Linked DNA regions of Drosophila melanogaster. The protein of the gene in region 3 interacts with the protein of the main gene of each other region in a pairwise test. Each region holds a gene or a part of one and is shown on either strand. Other genes may lie near its edges. The genes, in order: CG3104, CG11380, cmb and CG2017.

Evidence for each region.
Region 1: the proteins of cmb (region 3) and CG3104 interact in a two-hybrid assay, tested with the Drosophila melanogaster proteins (one large-scale study listed by BioGRID).
Region 2: the proteins of cmb (region 3) and CG11380 interact in a two-hybrid assay, tested with the Drosophila melanogaster proteins (one large-scale study listed by BioGRID).
Region 4: the proteins of cmb (region 3) and CG2017 interact in a two-hybrid assay, tested with the Drosophila melanogaster proteins (one large-scale study listed by BioGRID).

What each region holds. Positions count from the first base shown.
Region 1 is NT_033779.5:2,849,767-2,857,609, forward strand, and holds the start of CG3104 (uncharacterized protein), read right to left. Parts: upstream 6,013-7,843; 5' UTR 5,852-6,012; intron 5,544-5,851; exon of another isoform or gene 4,958-5,543; intron 3,840-4,957; 5' UTR 3,497-3,839; coding exon 3,485-3,496; intron 2,492-3,484; coding exon 2,381-2,491; intron 866-2,380; coding exon 569-865; intron 512-568; coding exon 1-511. Other genes in the region: RpS21 (ribosomal protein S21), read left to right, coding at 6,490-6,539, 6,611-6,802, 6,865-6,874.
Region 2 is NC_004354.4:1,189,563-1,197,163, reverse strand, and holds CG11380 (uncharacterized protein), read right to left. Parts: upstream 5,857-7,601; 5' UTR 5,472-5,856; coding exon 5,451-5,471; intron 2,967-5,450; coding exon 2,569-2,966; intron 2,501-2,568; coding exon 1,210-2,500; 3' UTR 504-1,209; downstream 1-503.
Region 3 is NT_037436.4:13,440,937-13,448,597, forward strand, and holds the start of cmb (combover), read left to right. Parts: upstream 1-1,657; 5' UTR 1,658-1,782; coding exon 1,783-2,052; intron 2,053-2,182; exon of another isoform or gene 2,183-2,363; coding exon 2,364-2,520; intron 2,521-2,752; coding exon 2,753-3,150; intron 3,151-3,276; coding exon 3,277-3,369; intron 3,370-3,431; coding exon 3,432-4,962; intron 4,963-5,072; coding exon of another isoform or gene 5,073-5,075; coding exon 5,076-5,344; intron 5,345-5,405; coding exon 5,406-5,947; coding exon of another isoform or gene 5,948-5,951; exon of another isoform or gene 5,952-6,025; intron 6,026-6,337; coding exon 6,338-7,448; intron 7,449-7,506; coding exon 7,507-7,661. Other genes in the region: CG14109 (uncharacterized protein), read left to right, coding at 290-343, 691-1,368.
Region 4 is NT_033777.3:5,857,579-5,863,932, reverse strand, and holds CG2017 (uncharacterized protein), read left to right. Parts: upstream 1-1,527; 5' UTR 1,528-1,655; coding exon 1,656-1,763; intron 1,764-2,030; exon of another isoform or gene 2,031-2,186; intron 2,187-2,628; exon of another isoform or gene 2,629-2,943; intron 2,944-3,528; coding exon 3,529-4,201; intron 4,202-4,412; coding exon 4,413-5,290; exon of another isoform or gene 5,291-5,348; coding exon 5,349-5,621; 3' UTR 5,622-5,850; downstream 5,851-6,354. Other genes in the region: ECSIT, read right to left, coding at 6,033-6,354.

The DNA.
Region 1 (7,843 bases), on a different chromosome or scaffold from region 3:
CGGACGTGGCCATTGCCTTGGCGCTGCGCGCCACCATAGTCCGTATGCGTTCCTGGAGATAATCACAGATGGAGGTGTACTTTTGCTGGTGCGCCAACTGCAGGGCCGTCAGACCATCGTGGTTCTTCAGCAGGACATCGCTGCCGGCGGCCACCAGCTGCTTGCAGACGGTCATGTGGCCAAACATGGCGGCGGCATGCAGTGCGGACTCTCCATTGGGCAGCTGGCCGAGATTGGGTCGGTATTTGAGCAGCACGGTGATTACGGCGGCATGGCCCTTGTGAGCCGCCTTGAAGAGGGGCGTGGCGCCGTCGCAACGCACGGTGTCCACATTGGCGCCGTTCTGGAGCAGCACCTTGCATATGTGATCCTGTCCCATCTGGGCTGCTATCCACAGGGGCGTGGCGCCGTCTATCCGCTTGATATCGATCTCGGCACCAGCCTGAATCAGCAGCGACAGAACCGTGCGATGGCCATTTTGGGCGGAGATAAAAACCGGCGTGGCTCGATCCTGCAGAGAAATAGGTCACTGTTAGATTATGCCTCGTCAAGATCTCGGACTACCCACCTTCATGTGCGCATTGACATTCGCTCCGCAGTCCAAGAGCTCGCGAACGATCTTCACGTGACCACCCTGGCAGGCCACAAAAAGGGGCGTGCCGCCATCCGCGGAGGGCGTGTCCACGCTGGCGCCCGCCTTTATCAGAATCTTCACCACGTCCAGGTGGCCGCCTTGGGCGGCGAAGAAAAGGGGCGTGGTGCCCGTTAGGCGACGCGAGTTTGGATCGGCTCCCTGATCGAGCAGCTCCATCACGCAGTAGGTGTGACCTCCGGCAGCAGCCAAAATCAGTGGGGTGGTTCCATCCTGCAAATAATTTTATAAATTAGAAAGATATCTATCTATAGAGATAATAAAAACAAATAGTATATAGAAATGTCTTGGCTTATATACACACATAATCTGTACATGAGTATAATCTTTTAAGGAAATATTAGGGATCATACTACGTTTTTTCTCAATAACAATCAAAATATTAGTTCAAATATGGAATGTCATACCTCGTTGTAATCGTTGCAAAATTCTCTTTCGAATGGCATTCACAGTTCTAAATGTAAAATTTTTGCCATTTTTCGCAAAAAATCATGATGTTACCCCTTACAAAAAATGAAAAAAATGTCAAAAAATTGATTTTCAAAAATCAGCATAAACGTGATAGGGATAGTTAGTTTAGATCAAAAGCTTTAAAAATCAGTCATTATTTCATCTCTGTGACTCATTTAGGCCATGTTATGACCAAAAAACCGCGTAAAATGTCATAATTTGCTTAAGTTTGTACCAATAATTGCCATTCAATCAATGAGCAACAATCAAAACCATAAAATCTTTAATTATACAATGAAACAAAGTTCCAATCGTCTGACATCACAAATTGACAGCTTACGTTTGTTTCAACTTCAAAGCGATAAATTGTTTAATTGTCTAATTGGCCAACAAGTGATTTGAATAGCAATTTGCGATTAGTTTCACCAAGTCAACGCTTAATCGCATCGTGCGGATTTGCATGCAAGTCCGTGGCTCGGACTCATCAAAAACCAAACAGAGGAAAAACAACAGGGGAAATTGAGGCATGTCCCAGCGGGAAAATCACGCCACAACTTGCAAATCGCTCTCGATGCACTCGGTGGTCTGCATCCAAATGGGGGAGTCACGTAGTGCCCACCCTATCCGCGGACTCTTGCAGACCAACTGGCATAATAATATACATATATATATATATATAGAAATGTATATATATACACATAGAAACACAATGGCACACTGCCCCCGCAGCCCACTTTCCTTTTAGTTGGACTTGAGTCCATGCTCCACTGAATGGGCAGCGAAATTTAATTTCAATTTTTATACACTAACAAAAAGTACTATAACTGGGATATTCAGGTGGAAGTATCACTAGTTACGTTAAGTAAAATAGTTAAGATATAATACTAAGGCATTTAGCTTTATTTTCTCAACATTTAAATATTCTTTTCATCTTCGATTGCTAGAGTATTCAAAAGCCTTCTGTTTACTTTTGAAAATTCAAAAATTTATGGCTTTTGTTTCAGTCGCATGTAAGTTTGCTGCATTTTTCGTTTTCCTTGCTAATTGGTGCGTACTTAATTTAGCAACGACGTGTTAACTGATGTTTGCCTCGTAGAGACTTTAAAAAATACTTTGTTTTGGGCTACGATTTCGCAATACTTCACTGACAGCACTTTGAAGTCGCATGTGTCATGCATTAACGATTGCATGTACAAAACTAAAGTGCATTTAACCGACTTTATATAACTGGAAGTCGTGTAATTGCATAAACTGATTTAAATGCTTTTTATAACTTACCTCATCCTTGCAGTCGACATGCACTTTGCCACTGTCCAGAACGCGAAGAAGAGCCACCTCATCTCCCCTCATCGCTGCCATGTGCAGTTGCACATCCGAGGGCGTCTCCTTCTGCAGTCGCAAAAATGAAATTGAAAACGGAATCAAATCAATTATCAACTTGCCCCGCAGCAGCTGTCCAAATAGAGAGATTTTCGGGGAAGTGATACCCGTGCCCCGAGCTTTCTGGCCAAAGTTCCCACTTCATAGCCCCCCCCCATTCCGCATTTGGGCGCCACGTGGGAATATTACTCTTCCTGTTTGCAGTAATTAGGGTCAGAGCAGTGACTAAAAAAAAGTTATTTCGCAGCGGATGTTGTGCCACATTGAATGCATTTTTTCAAAATGAAACCTAACCCTCAGATGGACAGGGCTGTACAGTGAAATGAAATGCAGAGGGCGGCTTACGGGTGGTATGAGTAATATGTGTCGAAATCTAAATATGATGCATTTGTTTTTTTTTTGAGGGTTAACTGGCATGCCAATTTCAGCTGAAGGAGGAAATGCAACAAATATTTTTTCCAGCTAAGTGTGTTTGAAATGTCAACATTGCGTTAATGAAGCGAATTAAGTGGCCCAGATGTGCCCGTGTTTGTCTGTGTGTTTGCTTTTTAGCCAGGTTTCTGCCATTGATGAAGTGGTTTGAAGCACCTGTTGAAAGGCAAAGACAAGTGAAAACCCTTGCATGAAAATGACGTGACTCAAGTTGCGAGGGTAACAATGCAAATGCTGCTGCACTTTGAAGTGACATAATGACAATGAAGACGGTGATGCCATCGTGATAATCACGTTCCTGATGACGACGACCAAGATATATGTTTGTGAGTAGCAGCAGGTGAGAAACACTTTTAAAGCTTCAGACATAATCTGGGCATCAAGATCTGATTTCAATCCATTGAACTCTTTCAATTTTTCTCAATTTCAAATCCATGACAGTGCGCTTAAATCATAGTTCGCAGTTGCCGAAGCTATTCATTTGAGTTTTTCCCATTAAAAGAGCCATCAAACGCGATCCGGTTGAGTCAATTAAGTGTTATATGGGTCAATACCTGAGCATTTACTCACCTTAAGCGACATGCCTGCGCCTCCAAGCTCGCCCGGCCTCTGGATCCCCGGCTGTTTGGTCTATTCCGTGGCTCTCGCAGCAATTGCACCTGCTTACAAGCCCGTTTCCATTGACCGATTTTCCGAACTGTAACGCTGCCCCTCCGCCAGCAGCAGCAGCAGCAACAACGACTTCTTCTGGCCAACTATATAGCTGCTATATAGCAACGAGATCGCTTGGCAAGTGGCACCAAATCAAATCAGATGAGAACCAGCAGCCGCACCAGCAACAGCGGACAACATCAGATGCGGCATCATTGTCCAAGTGCGATTCCAAGTTTAATTCCAAGCGACCAGTTTCCGAATCTCAAGAGCACTGCAAATTGTAAAGAGGAAAAGGAGCACAGCCAAAAGGCACGGGCCACATTAGAATTAAGTTGCTGCGGAAATAACAGGTTTTCGTTCGGCGTAGCTGGGAATTATAGTGCCAAAATGGTAGGAGAGTGAGAAGTTGTAATCTCATCGGGAGGAGTGTCTCGCAAAAGACTGCCCAATCTAAGTTCTGGTGAAAGGTTTAAATTTTAGTCGAAGTTCGGAGTTATCTTATTTTCTGTCAGTTTAGACAGCCACATAAACATTTAGCTAAGCGCTGCAAGACCAATTTAATAATTCATGGAGGGGCAAATTGAATTCCCTTCTATCGATAAGGCTCCCTTAAAGCCAAATGCCTTTTAAGGGGCCATAAAAATCATCAGTGTTTGAAGAGGTTCTCTATATTGCACATGAATGCCATTAATTTGATAAGGTTCACAACTTTGTTGCCCTTCAAATGAATTCCCTTTTCTTGAAAGTAAAGGCTTTGTCTAGATTATTGCAACTCATGCGATTTCCCCTATTGCAAGAGAACAACAATTACTAACTTTTTTGCATGCTGTAATTTCTCCGTTGTTAATAGGAACTCCCCCTGGAAATTGACAGGCGGCATCTCAGATCGCAGCTGACTTGGCTCAATCAACACGCAACAAGCCAGTCACAAAGTGAAGCATTTTCATTTTCTTTTTCATTTTCTGGTCTCTTACTTTGTGGGTACACTGCTTTATTAATTGCATTTTATGCAGCCGCATTTTTTTTTCTGATTTTCATCTACGCTTCTTGCCTTTTTTATGAGCATCATGGTGATGTTTCCCTTGTGCCTTTCAACTTTTGACCTAGAAAGTGTTTTAGTTTTTCGGACTTTCCTCATGCGGCTTTTCATCATCATCGTCTTTCTGGCCAGGCACGCAATGTGTGCTGCTGCTGACAACATGAGTTCAGAGTTTTCTTAGCCTGAGTACGACTCTTAATTGCCCTATTCACATAATTACATTGTGAATGTATCTCAAATATACGGCCGAAACGAAAATTCCGTTAAAGACGGCTTAGCTGAATAAAAGGTATAGTTCCGAAACATTTTAGCACCTTTAGAGCTTATAATATCTGTAGTAATTTTCTTACCAACTTTGTACGCTAAGTTTGTTACAGATAAGCCAGCAAACTGATAAAATATCCGTAATATGCGATACCTCTTATGGTACACGGTTATATCTACTGATTAGATTGTTTTGGCAGCCACTTGTTATTTTGTTTGATTTTAATGATCAATAGCTTTTTTGAAGTCTGGTCACTTTGGGTGGACTTTAACATAATTTATCTAATGTATTTTGTAAGCACCATGATTAGTTTCACTTTCATTTCGTTTCATTTACTATATTGCCACTTTATTACGGGTCTCGGGATCTTTGCTTTCTTGTTTAGGTGCTTATAAATAGCATCTCACGTTATCATGATCTCATTTTATTTCATTTTATCTTTTTGCTCTCGGCTGTACTGGGCTGGTGGCAAACATATTATGCAAAAATATCATAATTTGCACACACAAAAGGTCAACAAGCAGCATAACCACTTGTGAAATCTCACCTCAAGAAGTTTCAGTCGAAAAAACACAACTAACAACAATAAGGCAAAAGTCACGCCGTTTGGGATTTTTGAAATCGAGCGACGCGAAGCGAACCGATTGCTTCCAAAGTTGGCGTCCAACTGAAAAAGCTAAGTCCGAACTCACAATGAAATGCGATCAGAGAGTTCATTGAGTGAGCGACGCCTATAAATAGGCAACGTGGACTGCGAATTCCGCGACATGGCGCGCGATGAAAACAATGCCGCCCACTTGGGGCGCCCCAACAGCCGCACAAACACACGCGAAGTGGCAATAAAAAGTGGGGGTCCGCATCCATTGACGAAAATCGCTGCTGACATCGAGCGAGGTCAAAGGGCAGTCGCGCTGAACGCCCATCCAGCGAAAACAAAATCACAGACTGACTGACTGGCTGTTGCAAAATCAATACTCACATGCTAAATAAGTAAGTCCGTGCAGTTGGGAGCTTGCGAATAATATATATTGAGCCACTCTAATGGGAGCCATTTACTTGATGCGCCCCTAAATATGCAATAGAATTTTCCCGACGCGAAATCTGCAGCCTTCGCTCAGGCCTTCGAAAGTGTGACCAGTCGCTGCTGGAACATGTATCTAATATGTCATTCATTAGATTTTGGTATTTTCCACTAATGCGGGAAAATATATATTTAAATCTATTGATATTTACTTACAAAACCAAGTGAAATTTTTTTTTAATTATCATTTAATTTTAAAATACATTTTGGTGCATAACCAAAATTGAAACATGCCTATTCATTAAAGGGGAATGGAAATATCTTGCAAAAATGTACAATTAAATAAATACCAAAACCTTTGCCAGCTGGTCACCCCAAAACCAGCTGGTACGCAAAACTTCCGACAGGGGGCGCCACGCGCAGCGCAGCCAACTTCACGTCCAGCTGTCATTTCTTTCTCTTTTTCGCCTTCACCGACGAGTTGCGGTCGCTAGATTTGTAAATTTCTACAAAAAAGTGAGTAAACCAGCAGTGGCCGCCACTAAAACTGAATAAAAAGCAAGCTAATTGTGTCCCTTACCTTTCAGCCCAATAAAATGGAGAACGACGCCGGTGAGAATGTTGATCTGTACGTGCCCCGCAAATGGTAAGTGAAACACGTGTTCCCCGCACAATTTGCCGAATGGATTACTGACCAGCCGATACCCTTCCCTGCAGCTCGGCGTCCAACAGGATCATCCACGCCAAGGATCACGCCTCCGTGCAGCTGAGCATCGTGGATGTGGACCCCGAGACCGGTCGCCAGACCGACGGTTCCAAGACCTACGCCATCTGCGGCGAGATCCGTCGCATGGGCGAGTCCGACGACTGCATCGTGCGTCTGGCCAAGAAGGACGGCATCATTACCAAGTGAGTTTGTGCTAGAATCCCCGGGATGGACATCCACTAATCGCGCATTTTTCGCCTTGCAGGAACTTCTAAGCGTGGCGTACCCATAGCTAGATTTTGATTTGGTAATAAAGCGATTTCCCTTTGTAATTTAACGTATAACGTTCGAAATTGTTTTATTTACTTCTGGCATAAACAATGGAATCATTTTTCGGTGGCAGTTAGAACCAGGATTAGCTCAAAGCAAAGCATAACTAAGATGCTTAGTGTGTGGAGTAATTATTCTGACTTCCAATAAGACTTTTCAGCCACTAAGAATTTACGGGTGCTTTCAGGAACCAATTAATTTGATATTTGAATAAGTTCGCCTATGGGAATTCTAGTGTTCTATATCCAAAATAGCATATGCTTTGTATTACGATTATAAACAAACAGCAATCCTTTGTCAAAACAGAATATGAAATATATAACTCTTCGTCCGCAAAAAGTATAAACAAATTTTGAATTTATTGCATAGTATGACCGTTAGTCGAAACAGATAGTTCCTACTTTGTGGATGCGAATTTTTGAGAATGCATAGGTAATCGATAGTGCAATCGATGCTTGGCCATCTCTAGTTCAGCAAACGCGGTCACACTGCAAGTTCAGAGCTCGAGTGATTTTCATCGCGTCGCGAAACGAAAAAAAGTTATATATATATTAAATTTGCGAGGCATAACAACCATTTACCCATTCCTGGGGGCCAAATGTGACGGTGCTGTTGTAGTTGTAGTAGTTTAGGGTACAAGCAGTCGGTTGGTACCACAACAACATAACGAAAACGGAATCCAATTGGAAACGGAAACTGCGCGTCCTTTAAAATATGTGACAAAGAACAACAAAGAGGCAACAAATTGTTAAGCAACTTGCTCAGTTACAAGAATATATAAATGTGATGCAATAGCATAACCATTTCCACACGGACGCCACAGCAACTTGGACAGTATTAGGCAGACTTCGTAACTAGCATATTTTCGCAAACAGTACATGGTGAGTAGTTCCTTACCTTATAGAGCATTACGT
Region 2 (7,601 bases), on a different chromosome or scaffold from region 3:
GAAAAAGTGAAAAGCACCTGCTTTAAGATCTGAATAAACGATTGCTACGTCCCAACAATGGACCCATAAAACGTCAGCTTCACCAGAAACCACTCCACAACAAGCAGCCACTGTGTAGCACAGATCATATAAACTTATTTTATGTACAATGATGCTGTGCATTTGAGGATCTTGTTGCGCTGAACTACAGGTATAGTCACACACCCAGAACTCTTGCCATGCTAACTACTTGACTTGATAGGGAAAAGAGAACTCTTTGGAATGGCGAGGGCCATCATCCTCGCAAATTTCCTCCGGGATTTTCCCCGCATTTTCCAATTGCGTGCCTGCTAACAATTCGGTGTATTTAATTTAACAAAAATTTGTTGTAACACTCGTGTCAAAATCGTTCAGCTTTTAGTACTTCAGTTACGCCGGATTTGATGCTATTTTTATGGCTTTGCTGCGTGACTTCCGTGAATTGGCCAAATATTCGAATAAAATGGAAAGAGTTATTTGGTTTTCAAATTAATTTCTTTTCGGTTTAATCATACAAAAATACAAGTACATAATATAGGTAAATCAAGAAGCACATTAAGACTAAATATTGCACACATGATCAGCAGCACATTTTCTTGGTTAACAATATAAACAACATAAAAAAAAACGTCGTACAAAATAATGAAAAGCGAATGTGTCCCGGCAGCACCTCTTCGCTAAGAAAAGAAAACTATGCCTATCTTTAGGCGCCCTCTTTTCCGGCCAAAAGTATGCCTTGGCTGTGTAGCTCAGGGATTGCGGGTAGGTGTTGGATGAGATTTGGAGCTGGAGGATCACCCCGGGATCGTTCTGCTCCTCTAGCTTGGAATAAATACTAATGAGCGGATATCAGGCACAAGAAGCAACCACAAATTGTGTGTTAAGAATACGAGTGAACGTGGGCATGGCACTCACTGGAATTTTACTGTCTTGCTGGACTTGATCCCCATATTCATAATGTACGGATGTTTGAATTTGTTTTAAAGATGGCTTGCCTGGATATATACATAGAAAACGTGCGTAAGCGATTTAAAATTTAATTCTAGAATTCTAAGGCATCCGAAAAAACCTTTGATAAAATCGTTTGAAGATTGCCAAGTTTAAAAATTGGTTTAGTTCATCCAGGCAGAGATAGTGCGTTCGGTCAAATGAGTTTCCATGCCTTCGAACATCTGAACATTTATCCAGACCTCAGCCCTCGAGCAGCTGTGTCGTCTTGTATTCGACAGCCGAACCCATTTCAGCGCCCAGTTTCTCCCTCACATACTCCCTGATCTGTTGGAGTCCCTTGTCGCCCGAACTGGGACCCACGTCCCCATCCGCGGGTTCCGGCTTGGCCGCCCTTTTGCCCTGGCGCATCTTGATCGCATGGGCGTGGTAGTTGAAGGGGCGTTCGCCCTCAGGCTGGTGCTGGTGCTCCTCGATGTTGGTGGTCTGCTGTTGCGGTTGATGCTGCTGCTGCTGGTAGGGGTACGGATTAAAAATGACCTTGGTGTGGGTGGGTCGTGGGTTGTTTTCCGTTATGGGAAGGCTGTGGTCCGCCTCCGGTTCCTGTTCAGGACCACCTGAAGGACCCGTCGGTGGATCAGATTCTGGAACGTATATTGGTTGCTGCTGCTGCTGCTGCTGCTGAAGATGATGATGGTGCTGCTGATGATGGTGCTGCTGTGGTTGCGGCTCCGGTTCCGTTTCCGGCTGGGCCATTGCTATCAGATAGAGCTGAGGCTGCTGCTGCAAATGGGATTGGGGCTGAGCGTAGTAGAACTGTGTGGGCTGCTGGTAGTCCATGGGCGCGTAGTATTGTTGCGGCTCATATTGTTGCTGCTGCAGCTGCAGCTGTTGCTGGTGGCGACCCTTGTAGCTCTGGTAGACATCATCGATGGGTGCGTACTGGACGGGTGCCGGCGTGGGTGCCAGTTGGTGGGCGTAGCTGACTTCCTGATGGTAGGTGGCCGGTTCTGGTGGTCCATATTGCTGCGAAGGATCCACATGCTGATGCTGCTGTTGTTGTTGCTGCTGATCGGCCTCCTGGAGCAAGCTGAGGTACTGGGCCGCTCTGATCTCCAGATATTGCTGGAGAAGGGTCTGCAAATGGGCGGCGTACTTGGCGGGTCCTGGAATACGCAAGACAATGACGGGCTCCTGATATCCCCCGTGGCCACTGGAACCACCTGCACCACTGGGACTTTCCGCTTCATCCTGGGGCAGATCAATCTGCGGCTGCTCGGGAGCTGTGTGCTGCGGTTGGGTTTCATAGCTGGTCTGGGGCTTAAGCTCGTAGGAGTACGAGGGCTCAATGGTCACGCTGGTCACTTGCTCGTGATTGTGATGATGTTGCATTGCCGGCTGGTGTGCCTCCTCCTCCTGCTCCTCCGGATGTGGCTGTGGAAGGGCAAAGCCCGAGGGAATATCATGCTGTGAGTATGGATAGAACATGAACTTGGGCGGCGTGTAATCATAGCCAGGATGCGAGTAGCCGTATCTGTTTGGATATAGAAGTTAGATGGGTTAATATCTGGTCAGTCAAAATGCTGTCATCCATGGTCTCACCCCAAATCCCCCTCGATGGTCCTCTTGCTGTTCTTGCCGCCGCTACTCGTGGAATTATCCCTCTCCACCTTGATCTTGATCTTGTTTCCGTGCAGTTTGAACTGCTTGTCCAGCTCCTTAATGAATTCCAGGTCATCCGCCGGCAGATTGCCAAATGTCTCGGTTAAGGCCGGTGCTTTCGTGGGGCTCTTGGTGGTTGCCGATGTGCCGATCTTCACGCGTGGCTTACTGGGCTTCAAAGTGGTTGCTCTGCTGATGGAAATCGGAACTGTGGTCGGCGTTTTTGTTGGTCGCTTCTTCAGGGTGGTAACCTTTTTGGGAAATCCATTGCCCTTTGAGCCACTCGCCTCTGACTGGCTCAAGCTGCTGGCCAAGCACACTATAGCACTAAGAGTGCCCTGTGAAATATAGACAAACACAAGGTAAAATGTTTATCAATTTTATAGGACTTATACATTTAACTAAAGGAATTGCTTTTTTGATATTATTTAAAGCTTAGCTACCAGCTTGCGAGTTGAAACAAACAGGAAGTCTATCGAAGTTAGCTTTTCAAGAATTTGTAACGATTTAAAAATGTTCCAAAGCTGGAAAGACATTAGGTTCGTTGTCGGAATCAACTCAAATCAAATTGTGAAAATTGTTGGTTTCGTTTTGGCCAATCTTGGTTCGGGCTCAAGGTAAGAGGCAAAGACAATAGAGGGTGACAAAGGGGGAGTTGGAGACAAAAGCTGTGGTCCATCTATCGCTCTCAATATCGATCGTTAAGCCATTCGATGCACAACACACGCTGAGAAGAGGTTTCACATTTGACATTTCGTCAGGCGAATTGGTGTTGTAATTGAATCTCGATGTCTTTGAGTTCGTGTCTTGAGTCTTTTCATTTTAGCGCTTGTCCGCAGTTCGTGCCTTCAGTCATTTGATTCGCAAATGGTGGTAGATAACACTAATGGTTCGGTTTTCATCGATCAAATGATGATTATCTGGGTGACGATTATGGGTTACGGTCGCTAACTGTTACTGATACATGCGAATTATGGGTTATTAGCCTGATAATGTTTCATTTAATCCAGTTTAGGCTAGGTTCTTGTCATTACTGATCATTACTCTTTAATTTCAGATTTACGGTTCAAATCGAATTAGCCCTCCAAGTAGCAAAATAGTTTACTGACTTTGCATGCCATAATTGCAGCATGCGCCTCTCCCAGTTTTCCATGTGCAGCAATAATTTCGTACTTCGCTTGGTTAGTTAAGTTTTAATTGCACTTTGTGACTCGATTATCCAGTGAGTGAGTGAGTAAGTGAGTGTGTGTGTTATGTTACCCGAAACTAGGACAGTGTGTCAAGTCATTTTAATAGTCGTTGTCGTCTCTTTACTGCTGGTTGCTTATGTAGCAGTTGTTATTTAGCCTAGTCGTTAAGCAGGAAGAGTTTTTTTTTTGGCACACTCGCCTTGCCACAAGTCAGCCGCAACAGCGAATAGCTGCGGATTTTTGTCAAATGCTAGCATGAGCTGTGGGACCCGAAGAGCGAACTGCTTTTATGTAACCTCCACCGCTCATACAGAAGGAGCAGAGCAGCAACTAGTTAGATCTGTCTTCGTATTGATTTATCTTTACCAATTATTTTCTGTAATAATTTAATTTAATTGCATCAAGTCCCGAAGTCGCCTTGCCTTTCACTTGCCGCACAAAGAATCGAACCGAGTGGACGGGTTGGTGGGCGATTTTGCGCCAGAGATGAGATTCCCATTCCCGCATTGCAAATTACGAGCTACAAACAACGGCAAGTCGGGGCAAACGATCGTCACGCAACGCGTGCAAATTAGTCGGACTTGGATTTTTGCCCAGTTTGTGTGCTGCGGTGTGTTAGTTATTGTTTCACTTTCGTTGTTGCATCACCAGCAGCAGCAGCAGCAGCAGCAGCAGCAGCAGCACAGCAGCTGCTGCAACATCAAAGCCAAGCACAACAATAAAATGTAAATTAGACGTCTACAGATTATCCTGCCAGTGGCTGAGCGGCGCCTTCTCCCCCATCGGATGGGGCGTAATAACTTTATGTAACCACACGAGTGGCGACTCCAGAAAACGAGTCTTTCCAGCGCTGCGAAGGAAAAGACTACATCCAAATATGTGGATAGACTAACAATATGTACGAATATTAATAAAAGTTAAATTAAGCTTCTCGTTCGAACTTCTTTGTTGACATAGTTGTAAAGTGCCCTTATAAATTAAATACACGCTATTGCCTGACATTTAGGTACTTTAGTACGTTGGTTCAAAACTTACTTACTTAATATATCACAAGATGATTTCTTTTATGAGTAATGCAAATAAATATTTATAGCCGCTTGATTCAATGTGAAGACACTTTACCACCTACCACCCCTTAATTTCGTTCAGTGTGCACATTTGCGTAAACGAATCTCTGCTGGCCACTTCGGCAATCGCCAGATTTGTGATTCTACCATCTTAGCGTCCAATTAGTGGGCGATTGACGCAACTCAACCCCACTACTCCTCCATCGTGCTGCTTGATAGATGGATCTGGACACGGACTGGCAAAGTGGGCAAGGGCAGGGTCAGATAGCCGAGAAGCCGAAGGGCAGGAGTCAGTGGAGCGAGTGAAAAGGTCAAGATTATCGAGATATGGAGACACCATAGACAGCGGGAGTTGGGAGTTCATTGTATCGTACACCTGGTCGAGTTGGTTGAACTGCAACCACTTTCTAAGCCGGCTTGGCCAGCACTGCACCACTTGAATGCAAATTAATTTGTCAGCCGACGACTAGTTTTTATCCCGCACAAATTGCACAATTCGATTGGTGGGTGGGTCTATTTTCCGGGTTTTCTAAAGGAGATTGTATAATCTTACTCCTACTCTTACCAATATTAACGCTAATCTCATGGCGATTCCAGGTATCAATGCGCATGCACAGCGACTTTTTCACAAAATCCGAATTTGATATTGACGTTATATGTTATATGTAATAATATATGCACTTTTCAATACATTTGTGTCTTCGAGAACCACAAAAACAAAAAATACCAAGGGTACACGGCCGGGCTGGTGGGTTTAAGTTATGTTGGTTATAGTGTCTATACGAATTTGGTTTTGATTTTCGTCTCAGATTCGTAGTCGGAATCGGAATCGGAGCGGTGCTAGCGTTCAAAAGTCGCGCCTCTTACTGCGGATGGCGCTGGCGATGCTCGCGGTTTTTATATCGCAAGCACAGCATAACAACTTGGTCTTCGGGTTGCATCAAGCTGGAATATCGGCTTCGGAGTTGGAGTTGAAGTTGAATTTTTGAAGCTGAAGCTGAAGCTGAAGCTAAAGCTGAAACCAAAGCCAAAGGCGAAGGCGAAGGCGTATTGTGGACCGGGGATCGGGAAAAGAAGACCGAAGTTCACCACCAATGACACCGCACGTAGCTGTGTGTGACTGAAGGTGTAGGTTGCCTGGGATTGCCGCAACTGTAAACAAAGTGCTGGAGTACTTTAGATGCTGGTCAGATACAGAGAGATAAAATGCGGAGAAAAAAAAGTTGCGGAATTGGGAAGATGTAGTTTGAGGCACTGGAATACGAGTAGGGGAGATGTTACAGATGTGCCCGTTTAAATATTCCTGCCCACTTTGTTCATTGAATAGTTTCCATTGCCATCTAGGCATGGAGCTTCCCGTGCTGAGAATCATAGATGATCGACCTTGATTCGCCATGGGAGAGCAATCTTTCACAAAGGGCCATATATATATATATTTATATATATGATTGTATAGTAGATAACCAGATATGGAGGGAACTGGGAAACCTTTCCAATTTCTTTGGGGACAAAACGGCGACGCTTTTGTCTTGGCTTTTCCAGTTCAAGTTCAAAGCCATAAAAATATTGGCGTAACTTTGGCTTATGACAAAGGCCTGGACTCAAAAGACCGATTCCGGGGCCTTTCATTTCGGGTGAATACGTTTTGGGTTCATTATTATTATTATTTCTGTATTCCGCTGGCCCGCATAAAGCCACAAACCAATCGAAACAGAAACTGAAATTTGCATGAAAACAATTGCAGAGCATCCCATCCAGATGGGAAAAAAAGAGAGTGCCGGAGGTCCGCGAGTAGTGGCACTTTAATTGGCGCATTAAGTTGTTTTCGCTTGGGCTTGGCCTGGGATTTGGAGTGGCTTTTCGCTTTTGGCTTTGCCCAGCGCCAAAGGAGAAATGGCATAACAAGAGTGGCGTTTGTGTTCGGATCGTCGCTGGTGGGATTTGGTAATCCATTTTGTCAAAAGACACAAGACACGACACTAAGCGGACCGAGATAACGATAAAAGGCCGTAGATAACTGAACACTGCAAGCTAAAACCCAAAAACATCATTCGCAATCACGAGGCGGCACTGTCGAAAGTGTTTTTGCCGCCTGGTGGTACCCTTGCATTCGAAATGTGTTGGCCGTTTCAGGGTCGTCGACAATCTCCGAAAGTGACATGGTGAAGAAAGTGCATGTGGACAAAGAATCGAAACATGTTTGTCCATTTAGGTTGAAATAGGTGATGTTTAATCGCTTTGACTCTCCTCCTTTAGGGTCTCCCTCTGTCGGCTAGCTATTTCGATTAAGTTCCCATTGATGGTCGCGCATCGATAAGGAGAATACGCAATTGAAATGCTGGTCAGCCCGCCAGTTCGATGCTCTTTTGTGCTCGGGCACTCCGATCCATTCGATTCCGCCCAATTCCGATGCCAACAATGACCGGAGCGAATCAAAGCCGCGGCTAAGAAAGCATTGCCAAACCAAGCGGCCGAACCTCAACGTTAGCTCGATTTCAACAATTCAACTAGCCATGGCTCATTGTTCAGAGGTGCAACAATGTCACTTAGTCAGCCGTCATAATGCGGCATTATGATTATTTATTGTGCCGGGCAAGTCCCATGCTGATGAAGAGGCCTACGGATCGCATCGCACACAAAGCCAAAATCGAGAAGGCTGACCGTGGGCATCCTCCACAAAGCGCGACCCTTTCTTTATCAATTCGAATGCGTATTT
Region 3 (7,661 bases):
GCGCACAGCTCATCGCTCGGAGGATTCGAATATACGATTAAAAGGTAGCATTTTCAAGTATAATATATGTGGTGTATTGTGGTGTACATTTTCATAAGTGCACTTGTTAGTTTTGTCTTCAAAAATGCCAAGATGACTGACACTATTCTAACTGAAAAATAATTTAACAAAGAGCCATTTATTTATAGACAGTGCCTTGCGATGGGCCTTTGTTTGTATTGAGAAAATAATCAACGTGCACGATATACATAACACCAAGTATTCCCTCTTCTCCTCAGGAACCCAGAAAATGGTCAACGAACTGAATAGGCCTCAAAATGGGGACAATGCCGCCTTGAGCGAGGTAAGCTGGAGTCTTCGGGAAATTGCAAAACTCTTAGTATTTAAGTGTTTTAAAACAATAAGAAAACACAGTCAGTAAAGTTAAATAAATACCGTGACACATTCTTTTTAGACAACAAAATGAATGAGTCACACCAATAAGCCTACAGTCTCTAGATGTTTCAGTTGAAATGAAATTTAAGTACGAAGCTTTTTCTATACCAGTGAGCTAAAAAATAGAGTTTTTTAATAATAATATACAAAATCATTTTTCTTTTGATGCCCTAATGTAGTCTTTGAACTATGATGTTTTTAAACCAATTTTTTCATTATTGAAGCTTTCAAAACTAATTATTTGTATTTTTTAAGCGCCTAGCTGCTTCCAACAGACAGCTGCAAGAGATGCAGGAGGAGCACCGCCAGTTGCTTGAGGAGATGGAGACACTGCGCTTACGAGCCGCTGAGCTGACCCTTCTGAATGCCCAGCGCCGACAAGTGCGGCAGTCCACCGAGGAGGAGGAGGTTCAGTCCCACGTTGAATCCTCATCGGAGACAGTAACAGTTGCTTCATCCGCCAGTGCTTCTGGAGAGTTCACAAACCGGGAAGAGGCACCATCTGGTGAGGAAGAGGGCGGGGAGGACAAAGAGGAGCAGGCCAGTTATCTGCAGGAGAAGCTAAACGAGATCGCCAACCTGAAGGCGCAGTTTAAGCGCGTGCAGAACATGGTGGACACCACCAAGATGATCGAGGAGCACATGTCCTCCAGGCAAACGGTACAGGTCCAGAGCTCCACCTCCGTTCAGACCAGCAGGCAGACCACCTCGTCAGAAGTCCGAGTGGCCAGCGAGGCCGTAGAGAGTGCCCAAGAAGAGAATCCATCGACCTCGTCGAGTGCTCCCGATAACGCCGAGCTCCTGAATTCCATGCTTAACATGTTCACGGACTTCACCAGTGATCTACGCGGTCAAGCGGTGGGACTCCGGGCGGAGAGGGATCGGATTCGTGCGCTCAAGGAGGACATCATCCAGCGCAAGCAGGGAAAGTAGGCACGTCCAAACTTGAAAGGGAAAATGGCTCTAGTCATATAATGTTTATTATCCAAGGAACATATTATAAAGTAATCTCCAAATAAATAATTATCCTTAAAAGATATCAAATTACCAAGTAACGTTAGTTTATCTACACCAAAAGCATTTAAAATACTTTTTACAGATATACATTTTATTTTAAACTAAAAATAATATTTATTTTTGAATTTTAGAAAACATTCGATTTCAAAAAACGTCCGCTGCCAGTGTGACCATAACTTGGTAGGCTTGTTAACTAGCTTCCAGCCCTGGTTGGGAACAGCTGTCAGAGTGCGCAAAGCAAAAAAACAAAGTGGGAGTACAAAAAAGAGGAGTTTTTTCAATTTTGTAGCGTCGTTTTTTGTACGCAAATATATATATATATATTTTCTAATGGCGCCGCCGCCCAAGGTAGTTGTGGACCAAGCCAACGCCAGCGCCCGCAGCAATGGCAGCAGCAACAACAACTCGGTGGGCGGGGCAACCGGTGCGGTGCCTAAACAACAAACGCCTGTAAACGGAGCACCCACGTCCGGGTCGAGTGCATCTGTGACATCCAGCCGGTCGGCCCGCTCTCGCCGGCAGCAGGAGCACCTGGGCGAACCGGACATGGAACTTGTCGAGCCAGAGACGCTGCAGCGGGAGACGCTGAAAACTCTGAATGTAAGTTAGACGGACGTCTGGTTGCCATGGCAAATCTTCTCGAAGAGAAGACACCAAGACCTTTCTCTTCTTGGTTTTATAAATACACTTTACACTCATCGCGACCTGCGGAAATTCGTTAGCCGCTGGCTCAGTAGCGAATGCGAACTCAACCACTGCGGACAACGAATTTCGATCGGCCAGAGCAGCGCCCTTATACATATATATATATATATCTGAAATAGATATATATATATAGACCTAAAATCAGCAAAATTACCGCAATCCTCGTGCTGGTTTTCCTGCTAATCTTCATTTACTGTTGCTTAAAGGATCTCCTCCAGCGAGCACGCATCACCAACGCCAAGAATCGATCGCCGGCGGAGCAGCATCTGTCTAGCAAGGATCACAGGTCGCCTGCACAACAGCAACAGCAGCGCGAGGCACTGCGTCAGTTGGCCGCCGAACACGGCAACTACGATACAGCAGGTAATGGGTCCTGAAACCGTTGAGGAATATACACATTTAATTGAGCAATTTCCAATATCCGCACCTGGCAAAGTGATCGGCCTGGCCCACACAGAGATCGGTGCGCCAGTTCATGTTCTATAAATAAGATGCGCACGAAAATAAACGCCCACTGAGATGATGTAGTTCGCAGCGCAGTATTTAGCAATGGACCTAAACATCCATACTGATCTTTGGCTATTTTCCATTACAGAGCAACTGCAGGAACAGCAGCAGCGCTATCGATTCCCCGTCCGTCCTGTCCAGAGGGTTCAGCACCAGCCATCCTCGTCAGCTAATAGCACAGGCGCCCCCTCATCTTCGACGGCTTTGCTGCGTTTGCGTCAATCGACGCCTCCGAATGCCACAGTAGGTGTGGTCATACCGAACGCAACTACCAGCAACGGAAACGGCAATTTGAGTGGCAACGAGGAGCAGGCACCGCCACTGACCCCCGCTGGACTGCAACAACTCGTTCACCGACTTCTTGGTGTACACCATTTTGCTCCCAGAACCGAAGGTTTTCGCTCGCAGGTTGACGTGTTACGCGCCCTGCTAGGATTAGACGAGAACCTGAATAGCAGATATCAACCGAGTAGGAAAGTTGTAGAGGTGAGTTTGAAAGCTTGTGTCAGGAACTTCAAGTGAGCCGTACATTTATAACATTTATAAGATTGATAATAACATTTTTTATATCGTAATAATAAATGAAACTAAATCCTTTAATTCTTGCCCCAGACGAACAACATGGTGCACGAAATCAACCCAAATTCGGATCAGGGTGAAGGCGTAGTCAATTCGACCAGCTTGGAGGATGTTGCATTAAGCGAGGTTAGTTGGTTAATAAAACCAAAAGTCTGCCTTCTAGTACTCAAACCATTTGTACCTTTCAGATGAGCGACAACCGCGCCCAATCCATTCAGTCCCTACACAGCGTCTTGGAAACGCCCACGCCCGATACCACGCCCAGCTTCGATGAGTTGCAGCAGCGCTTGGAAGCCTCCAATAGGAACATGCAGCACCTGCACGACGAACAGGCGAAGCTGTTACAAATCCAAAATTTGGCCAAGACTCACCTTAACGAGATGGAGCGGCTGCGCCAGCAAGCCGATAGCTTACCCCACAATGTCAATGGGGGAGAGGCCCCCAAATACGAGTCCGTGCAGCAGGTACAGGACGACATGGCGTCGCTGGTGGGGCGCATGAAGAATCTCACCGCCTTTATACACAACCAGAACGAACTGAGCACGGTGCTTGGCGATGATGGGCCCGAGATCCTGGCCGAGCAGGAAGCCCTGCAGGAGAAACTGGAATCACTGCGCACCCAACGTGAGGATATGCGCAATCTGGTGGACGAACTAAACAGCATCAACCGTGCGGCCAGGGAGACTGCTAGAGTCATCAAAGAGAAAGAGGAGACTCCCACGCCTCCTCCCAAGCCAGAGGAGGCTGCCCCAGCGGCTCCCAAGGAGCGTGTTGTTCCTGTGGAGTATCAGAGAAACGTACCCATCATACGCCAGGAGGCGGCCAACGCTGCTCAACGGGCACTTCACGCACAGGCAATGATCAACCAGAAGACGGCAGATATAGAAGCACTCAAGGCTCAGATGGCGAGACTAAAGGGAATGCTGTACACTGTTAGCCAGATTGAAGAAAGTACTCCCAGCATGGGCTCCACCTTAGAGCGGCGTAGTGAGGAAAGAACTAGCGTGGAGCGCGAATTGCCGGCCGAGATTGCCCAGCGCGTATTCGCTCTGAACGATGTTACGAGCGAACTGAGAGCGGAAGCAGCAAGCTTGCAAAAGGAGCGTGACCGTATCCTAGCCCTGAAGGCAGAGATTGAGCGACGCAAACAACAGGCGGCCGCCGCTGTTCAAATGGGCGATGATGCACTTAAAAGAAGCAGTCTTACCCCAACACCCACCCCCATGAGACAGCGGATGACCGAGGAAGAGGATCCATCCGAAGTGGATAATTCTCTTCAGGCTACGCCCACCAAGGAACAACTGCGCGATGAACTGCGCTCGCAGTGCGAGCGCCTGCGAACGGAATACGAGCAGAAGCAGCGGGAACTGGAGCAGCGTTACGTAGCCAGTAACAACACCACATCGGAGGCGGATGACGAGGCAAACGACGACACTGACAGCGATAAGTACTTCGCCAACGTACGTACCGCTTCCTCAGCGACCCTAAAGAGGGCTCCATCCGCCAACACAGTGGTGGAGCAACGACGAGGTCAGCAACCTAACGTTCCCCCACAGCAGGCACCACCACCACCGCCGCCTGCTCCTCCGTCGACGCTAAACGAAGATGACCTGAATGTGACACTTGATACGCTATCCCTGGGTAATGACAGCATACCATCCAGCAGCAATAGATCGCAGTACATGCCGCCCCCCATGCAACCAGTGCCTGGAATGTGGGGTACGTTTTTAATTCCACCAACAAAGGCGGAAATTTACCAACTTTACTTTACCAACTTGAATTCATGTATTAGTTTCCTCGTTTTACGCTTATTTTTATGCATCCGCTAGCAGCATCACACAACTCTGGAAGTTCGTGGCATGGACAGCAGCCCGTCTACGGTCAGCCGAGCTCCAGTGCCGGCACAGAGTTTAAAAAGCTGCCAGCCGCCCAACAAGGGGGCTCCTCAAATGGATCCGGATCGAATGCCTCTACCGACGCAGTTCTGCTGCAGCAGTTCATGCAGACGCAGCAAATGCTTATCAACTCTGTGTGCCAGTGCAACCAGGCACTGTGGCATCAACAGCGCGAAATCGACAACCTCAACCACCAGCTACATGCGGTAAGACAATCCATGAGATTAGAGAGCCTAATCAAAGACTAATTCAAGTGTTTTTTCACAGCTCCAGGATCGATTTAATGTTGTAGCATGCCAGGATCACAGCTTCGGCTTGCGCTCGGAATCAGTACCGCCTCCGGTGGGCCCTGGAATGGGTCAGATGCCCAACAATCTGTGCCTGGGCAGCAGTCGAGCTCAATCTGAGCAGCTATTTAACTTTGGTGCCCACCAGAGCGCCTTTAGTAACTATCAGCGCAGCTGTCATCGTAGCGGGGCAGAATCGCATCATCATCAACAGCAGCAGCATCAGGCGCAGCCGTTCCTTAACAATGCTGCTCCCCCGCCACCGCCGACGCACTTCAACAACGAGACACCCCTGTCGCCGCCTACTTACCGCTCAAGTCCAGGTCCCATCTTCATGAACCACCATAACAACACGATACATCAGAACAACTCGAATCTGCGAACCCAGAACCAGCATGCCAACAATCTGCACTCGCTGCCCGAGGGAGCAGCTGGTGGAGGAGCACCTGGTGGCGGTATTACATTGAACAATCAAGTACCACCCGGAAACAGAGCCAACAACTACTGGGACAACTTCCGCAGGTAATGCTTTATAACTTTGGTGTTGGATTTATTAATGGTTGTTTGATGGAAAAGGGTCAAAAGCAATAAAAATTAAATAAAACTATTGTGAAGAGTTAATTTTCAATTCTGTGCACCGGTAAGTGCGACCACGCGTTGCAGATAAGTGTCCCATTAACAGAGTTGAAAGTGACTAACCAAGACTAACTCCAAGTACTGACCAAGTTTTGCAAGTGCCTATTCGGCAGTAAACAAAGCTAATTTATAAAAGATGTGTATTCAATTTAAAAAGGATATATGGAATAGAAAAACTTAACTTAGTAACGCTCACTAGATTTAGCTAGTTTATCAACTGCATGATTCTTTGCTACCCGCTTGCATTAACCCATTAATATCTGTACGCTCTTCCAGCCATTCGCGCCAAAATCTCTTATCAAATAAAAGCAACGAGGAGCTGAACGTGGACCTCCAGCAGTATCGGCGACAACGGGCACGTCCCAGCTACTTTCAGCCGCCCCAGTTGCTTCCGCCTACTACGCGTGGTGGTTTGACCCACCAGCAGCAGCGTCGTCACTTTTTCGAGGCGCCACTAACCGCTTTGCATGGCAGCAGCTCCAATGGCAGCAATAATCTCAACAACAGCGGCAGTTCGGGCAGAAAAAGGGACTGGCGCGATGATGCAGGCCACATTCGCGACCACGACGATGAGGATGTGGACGAGGTGGAGGAGAACCATGATAACGTCATATTCGGCTCGGGTCGACGTCGCAATCGTCGCCGTCCTCAGCTTTCCACGCTGCGGGATGATGAGTCCGAGCAGGCTAGCTCCTCCAATCTCAACATGAACGTAAACTATGGCAACAGTCCGCTGTATCAGCGGAACAAGGTACCAGCAAAGCCCACCACTTCGACTGTGTCGCTTACTCCTCTGCAGCAGCGACATCTTCGTTTCGACTTCGAACTTCCAGCTCACTACATGGACTACATCGAGCTACCCCAGATTACTCCAGTGGACACTACTCCTACGCTCGGACAAGAAGCATCGCCCGCGGACGAATCAAATGCCATGGAGCAAACCGAGGAAACGGCCTCCGAGGAACTGAATCGAAATCTGCTGGTTAACGCTCTGAAGAACGACAAGTTCACCACAAAGTTTTATGAATCAATCAAGGAGGATGTCTACCGCCGGCTGGAGACACTCTTCGAGCAGCAGCAGCAGCAGCAGCAACAACAACAGCAACAAAATCAGCAGCTGCAGCACTCACATGAACCACACGGCTTGCGAAAGGCTCTTAACCAGGAGGAGAACGAACCTACTGGCGACGCCGAGGCCACCGAGAGTCGCAGTGAAACCCCGCTAGAGGTAATGCGTCTGCAGCTAGACAACGATCGGCCCGAGGACGAAAAAGGAACGCCAGTGAAGCAGCTAAGTTTGTCCAATCCACAGAACGGGCAGCACCTGGATGAAATGGAGGACAGTGCTTCTGCTGTTATCTCTTCTCTTAGGACCGAGAACGAAGAGGTAAGAAAGGCTTTCGTAAACTGGATCGATTAACTCATAATTGCGTCTTCCTTACCAGCAAATCCTCGAGGGAAAACTAGAACAAGCCTCTGGCTCGGGATCAGGACCAGGGACCAGCATAGAACTGGCACCGGATCACGAACTAATCGAGTACATTATCAAACGCATTCGCAATCAGACGCACAACAACACCGTCATCAATGACTCCCTACT
Region 4 (6,354 bases), on a different chromosome or scaffold from region 3:
GCCAGCCAACAAGTGAGCAATAAAGAAAAGTTTAGAAAAATATCCCAATCCATGCTGCCGGCCGAATCACCAATCCGGAGTACCCCATCCCAAATGAATGGGTATATAGAACTGGGCACGGATTTGTGCGCACGATAGCGCAAAACGATGACAATAAATGGAAAACTTTTTAATAAGCTAATAAAATGATTTATGCGGGTCGAGCGATAAGAGGGATAAAAGGCACGGAGTTCCACTTCCAGATGGCCATTTGATGGGCCCGATTCCGGCCAATTCCGACAGACAGACACCTCATTGACGAACGCCAACCAGTTGGACCTGAGCACGCACACACACACACACATACACAACGAATGTATTCTTGAGCATTATTTATTGGATATTGAATGGGTCGGCCCAGCTCGCAGGATTGGGGCAGTTCAAGAGGGGAGCGTAGCCCCCACCCCCCCACCACCCTATCATCCCCCTTTCATTGGCAATTGTTATCAAGGCATTAGCACATCGGAAATGCTATACGACTATATCATACTCAAGACAAGGGCTAAACGACTATAAGTGTTCTAACGTTTGTCATATCAGTTGGGCGATTCAGTTCTTGACTTTCTATCGAAAAAACGTAATTGAAAAAAAGAAATGTATATGCTAAGTCATCGATAGCGATTAGTAAAATCAATGTAATGTCATAATGTTTAAATGTAAAAGTTATAGCATCCAGGTAACTGGTAGAGCAAATCGTAAACTTCCTCCAAGTTTATACATATATAGTAAAGGTCCCCGCTGTAGATAACCAAAATCGAGTGCCAGTAGTGCAATTTTAAAACGATCCCCAACAACCTGTAGCATCACGACATCCCCATGATCCATGTCGAGGTCAGCAGATACTATTTTATGAGCCTCAGAGAGGTCAACGATGTACATACATACATGCAAGCCCAAGTCCCGAAAACAGACAGACATACATACATATACACATCATTGTAACTGACTACATATGTAAAAATGCTTAAAATATTTGTGATAAAGTAATAATGTTAATGATAAGGAATAAAACGTAAATATATTAATGAGAATACATTGAGTTTGAATTAAAGCAATTCGAGTTGTATTTTCATTGCTGGGAGGCACAAGGTTTCCTAAATTCTTTTTTTAGCAATCTAAAAACGTTACCATATCTTCACTCATTTGAATGATTTTTTGATACCAATACAAAATTATTTTGTAGCAAAGCAGATGTTTTTGAGCTTGCAAGATAGCTCCATCGAGATTGGAATTAAGTTCTATGCTGGCTAATAAACTTATTTGAGTAAAATTTACCAAAACGAATTCTCAACACTAAAGTACTAAAGTAAAGTATGGAAATGTAGGACATGCAGATGACCGCCTTCGCAACCCCATTTATTGTTAAAAATACGTTACTATTTAAATTTGAAAAATGTGTGCCGTTCACAATGGACGCCCCGTCAGCCAGTGTTGGTAAGGGTGCGCAGCAACTGGATAGGTCAGTGTCCAAAAGGGACTAACGCGTGGCGAGCATAAACATCTGTTTGTCGGAGTCACAAAATGTAGGAAGTTTATGGTTTATAATAATTGATTGGATTGCTGGCGCAACTTTGGCGTCCCCGAAATTTGAAGTGTGTTGTGAGTGCTTAACCCACATGAGTGCAAAATTGCCATGGCAACGTGAATCGAACACGAACAGCAACACCCACACAGAGACCATTGAAGATCCGCGCATTGTGGCGCAGTATTGCATCAGCAACTGCGTAAGTGCAGCACATTGACTCCATTTTTGTTTTGCTGATGAAATCGCAGCGCGATTTTTGTTTCTTGTGAAATTCCGCTCTATGCTTGCCAAGCTTTTGTTTGTTGGTTGCATGAATTCGGTAAACGCGACAGTTACTTCCCGGAATTCAAACGGAAAGGAGCTTTCCGCGAAGCGTCCTCAATCAATTTCGAGATAGAGATAGAGAATAATAACGCAGCTGACGCGGTCAAAACAAAAGCGCTTGTGTAGAAAATCAAATGCGAAGCAAACGCGGCGAGGACAAGACGCGAAAAGCTGTCAAAACTACGCGCCGAAAAAGGAAAGGGTCTGGTCGATCAGAAATCCGCTACGCAACACAGATTGCGTATCTACATAAAACGTAATAATTTAATTGTGTGGGAGTTATCTCACAATTAAGAAGGTTCGTTTTTAAACTAAGTTTCCTTATTTGAACAACAATCGTAGAACTAAAGAGGTGTGTTTGAATTGTGGAAAGCCAAGCATTAATTGTTGAATAAAATTATCAAACGTCGCGGCTTCGCATCAAAATCGTGAAAAAGTTAACTTTTATAGTTCCAGTGTCGAAGGACGTAATGGCGTGTGACGTAATTAAACATTGTATATCCTGCCTTCTAATTGCAAAAATAAAGTAATTAGAATTAAAACCTATAAATTTACCATTTATCGTTAGCTTTAGTAATTAAATAGGTTCGTAATAACATCCCGCATTAAATATTTAGGTAACTTTCTTCTTGTGGAAATTCACTAAGTTAATTTTTTTAAGCTCAACCCCCACTTGCTAAACAAAAAATACGTTCCATGAAAGAACTCAAACGCCCTAGGGTAAGGTATTGCGAAAGCTTTTGAAGTATTCAGGTGCTTGTTCTTCGGTCAACAAAGCAAAACAATCGGGAGCAGGTTATAAACAAAATCGAAAGGCACCCAAAAGCGGAGAGCACAAGTACGCACACAACTACGAACTACAACTACAAAGCACAGCACTCAGAACCCAGATAGCCGAACGAACAACAAATTCGACCTGGGCAAATGAAAAGCGCAGCCAAAATCGATATTTTGTGCCAGCGTCGCGCGCAAATAGGAGCTGCTTTAGCGCTTAATATCTCGAATAAACTCGAGCGGATTGGTTTGATTAGTGAGCCAAATATAGGGATTATCTGGTAAGATGTTTGGAACTTGTCGTATTATCGACCTTCTGTTCCACCTGCCCCCGCGCGTGGGCTCGAAACAACGGCCAGAGTCGTGGCAAACATAAACAAGCATTTTCAAGGTCGCTGCAAGTCAAAGACGGCCAAAAAAACAAATGGGGAAAATTTCAGTTTTGATGGATACACATAAGCAAACGGTTCCATCAAAAAGATACATAGAAGTTGAAAAATAATTGTTTTTAAAGTGAAACAAATGACGTGGTGTCGAAATAAAATTAAAAAAACTTTAGTACAATATTAAAAGTTATTTCAACCCAATTATATTGGGTAATTCTCAGACTAAATACAGTACAGTATGAGTAAACAAATCAAATAATATTTACTTATGCATGTATCTCATTGCTATTATTTCAGCCACGGCTGTTCGAAAATCTGTATGTATGTACATAAGTATGTACATATGTACATTTTCGATGTCGCAATTGGCCCAAAAAATGTTTTCTTCTCAAGACAAAGAGTTCCTTTGTCTAAACAGAATTTTTACCATTTACCTCATCTGAATTTTGTATTTATATGATCCACGCTTCCCTTTTGCAGCAACACATTATGGAGTCCTTCCTGAGTCTCTTTGATCCCAATCAGGACGACGGCTTCGAGGAAGAGCCCGAGCTCAATGGCAACAGCAGCGGCGGCGGAAGCAGCAGCAGCGACTATGAGACGGACGCCAATGCCAACGAGTGCAGCGTAGTGAGCGGGATGCCCACCGAGCGGGGCAACCTGATCTTCGACTTCGAGCAGGGAATGCTGCCACCAGAGCCGCAGCTCGGAAATGTGGAGTACAAGCTGAAGCTGGTCAACCCGTCGAAGCAGCGATTCGAGCACCTGGTGACCCAGATGAAGTGGCGTCTGCGCGAGGGAAACGGCGAGGCCATCTACGAGATTGGAGTATCCGACGCCGGCTATCTGCAGGGACTCAGCGACAAGGACATGAATGCCTCGCTCACCACGCTCAAGCAGATGGCCCACAGCCTAGGAGCCAGTACCTCAGTGCTGCGGCGAAAGACCATCGCCGCCCGACGCGCCGTCGCCGAGGTACTGGTCCGTAAGATCCCCGACGACCAGCACAACATCGAGGTTCGGGTGGCGGTGCTCGGCGGAGCTGATGCAGGCAAATCCACTTTGCTGGGCGTGCTTACACAGGACGAGCTGGATAACGGACACGGCCGGGCGCGGCTCAATATGTTTAGGCACATGCACGAGATTCAGTCTGGTAATATGTCGTTATAAGCACTAAACACAGATATAAATTAAATTAAGATGTTTGGCATCCATTTTAAATTGTCATCAATAAGGAATATATCAGTTGTACTACATTATTCATACATCTCTCGTTTACAAACTTTTTTTTAAATTATATTTATCACTCACAAAGTCCGGTTTGTTTGCTTGAAAATTACCAATTTGCTCCTCTTTTCCTTAAGGCCGCACCTCCTGCATCTCCCACGAGACGCTTGGCTTCGATGCACTGGGTAATGTGGTCAACTACAAGTACAATGAGATGATGACGGCAGAGGAGATTAGCGACAGGTCCAGCAAGCTGGTTACCTTCATGGATCTAGCCGGACACCGACGCTACATGCGCACCACCGTGCAGGCACTGAGTGGATACTCACCCCACTACGCCATGCTGGTGGTATCGGCGGGCAGCGGTTGCAACGACACCACCGAGGAGCACTTGGCTATCGTGCGGGCACTGGACATGCCCTTCTTTGTATTGGTCACGAAGACAGATATCACATCGCCGGACGCGACGGTACAGGAGTTGTGCAACCTGCTCACCACCATTGGGTGCCGGAAGGTTCCCTTTGTGGTGACCAACACGGATGAGGCCATCTCCGCCGGGTCAAACCAGATCTCCGAGAACATTGTGCCCATCTTTTGCGTATCGAATGTGACCGGCACGGGACTCAACCTAGTCACAAAGTTTCTGTACGTCCTTTCGCCCGGAATCAGCAACGCCGAGAAGGATCGACTCGAGCAGGAGTCTTGCGAGTTCCAGGTGGACGAGATCTTCCGGGTCTCTGACGTCGGACCCGTTGTGGGCGGTCTACTTGTCCAGGGCGTGCTGACCGAGAATATGGCAATGAAGATTGGTCCGCTTCCCGATGGTAGCTTTCATCCCGTTACTGTTAATACTATCCACCGAAACAAGGCTCCTTGCCGAGTTGTCCGAGCTGGTCAGAGCGCTTCGCTGTCTTTCAGTATGGATCAGGATGTGCCCACGCTACGAAGTGGCATGGTTCTTTTGGGTGATATTGGAAATAGTCTGGATGAGCCCTACGGGACCTTCTTCTTCCAAGTGAGTTGCTAGTTTTCATTTATCGTTACCAAATAAATACATCAACTTCCCTTTGCAGGCCAAGGTGTCCGTGCTGTTCCACGCCACGGCCATCTATGTCGGCTTCCAAACCACAGTCCACATAGGCAGCATTCGCCAGACGGCCGTCATTCGGGGCATTATGGGCGGCGAGCGACTGGGCACAAACGATTGTGCTTCGGTGATGTTCGAGTTCGTCGGCCACCCGGAGTACGTGCGTCCTGGAATGCGCATCCTGTTCCGCGAGGGCACCAGCAAAGGAATCGGAGTTGTCACGCAGGTGTTTCCGGTCAACAAGACAGGCATAAAGTAGAGAAGCGGGCCAGATGGATAGTTCCAATGACATATCTATATATCTCAAACAAAGATGACATGTACATATACTTAATTAGCAATTAGAGGGAGGCGTTAAATCTTAGGCAGATCTTCTGTACACTTAGTTTCGGGTTCTGTGATTTTTCGTTTAAGCTCGGCTCACAATCGGATGTTGTGAGTAATCCTTCTCAATTAACCTTATTTCATTAAAATCCACCCCAAAATGCATACAATGTTGCTTTCAATTCGCGTCCGAGCCAAAGAGTATAAATAATTACCGAAGTATTAATTTTTTTCCTTCTAGCAGATGTACATATATATGTACATATGATCAAAACCGACTAACTTTAAGCAACATTTACCATCAATTCTATGGTATACAAAGACGAAAAAGTGCTCAACAATTTGTTTATTTCTGTCTACTGCTAATGTGCTCATCTTGACTACTGTTATCACTTGTTGCCGGGACACTGGCGCCACCTTCAATTTCCTCCGCCTTGGCTGGCACTTCGGATGTGAACCGGAAGAGGACGGGCACCTCTCCTATGGAGGGATTTCCGTTCGCTTCCAACAGGCGAATCCACGAGAGCAATGAGTCCTTTGTGGAGGTGCCTGTGGCACAGATGGCCATAATGGTTCCGTCGTCCTGTTGGTGGACAGAGCGCAGCTTTCCCAGCTGGTTGTGTCGCCTTGGTGGAGCACGACCAAAGAAGGGTACTTCGATGTGGGAG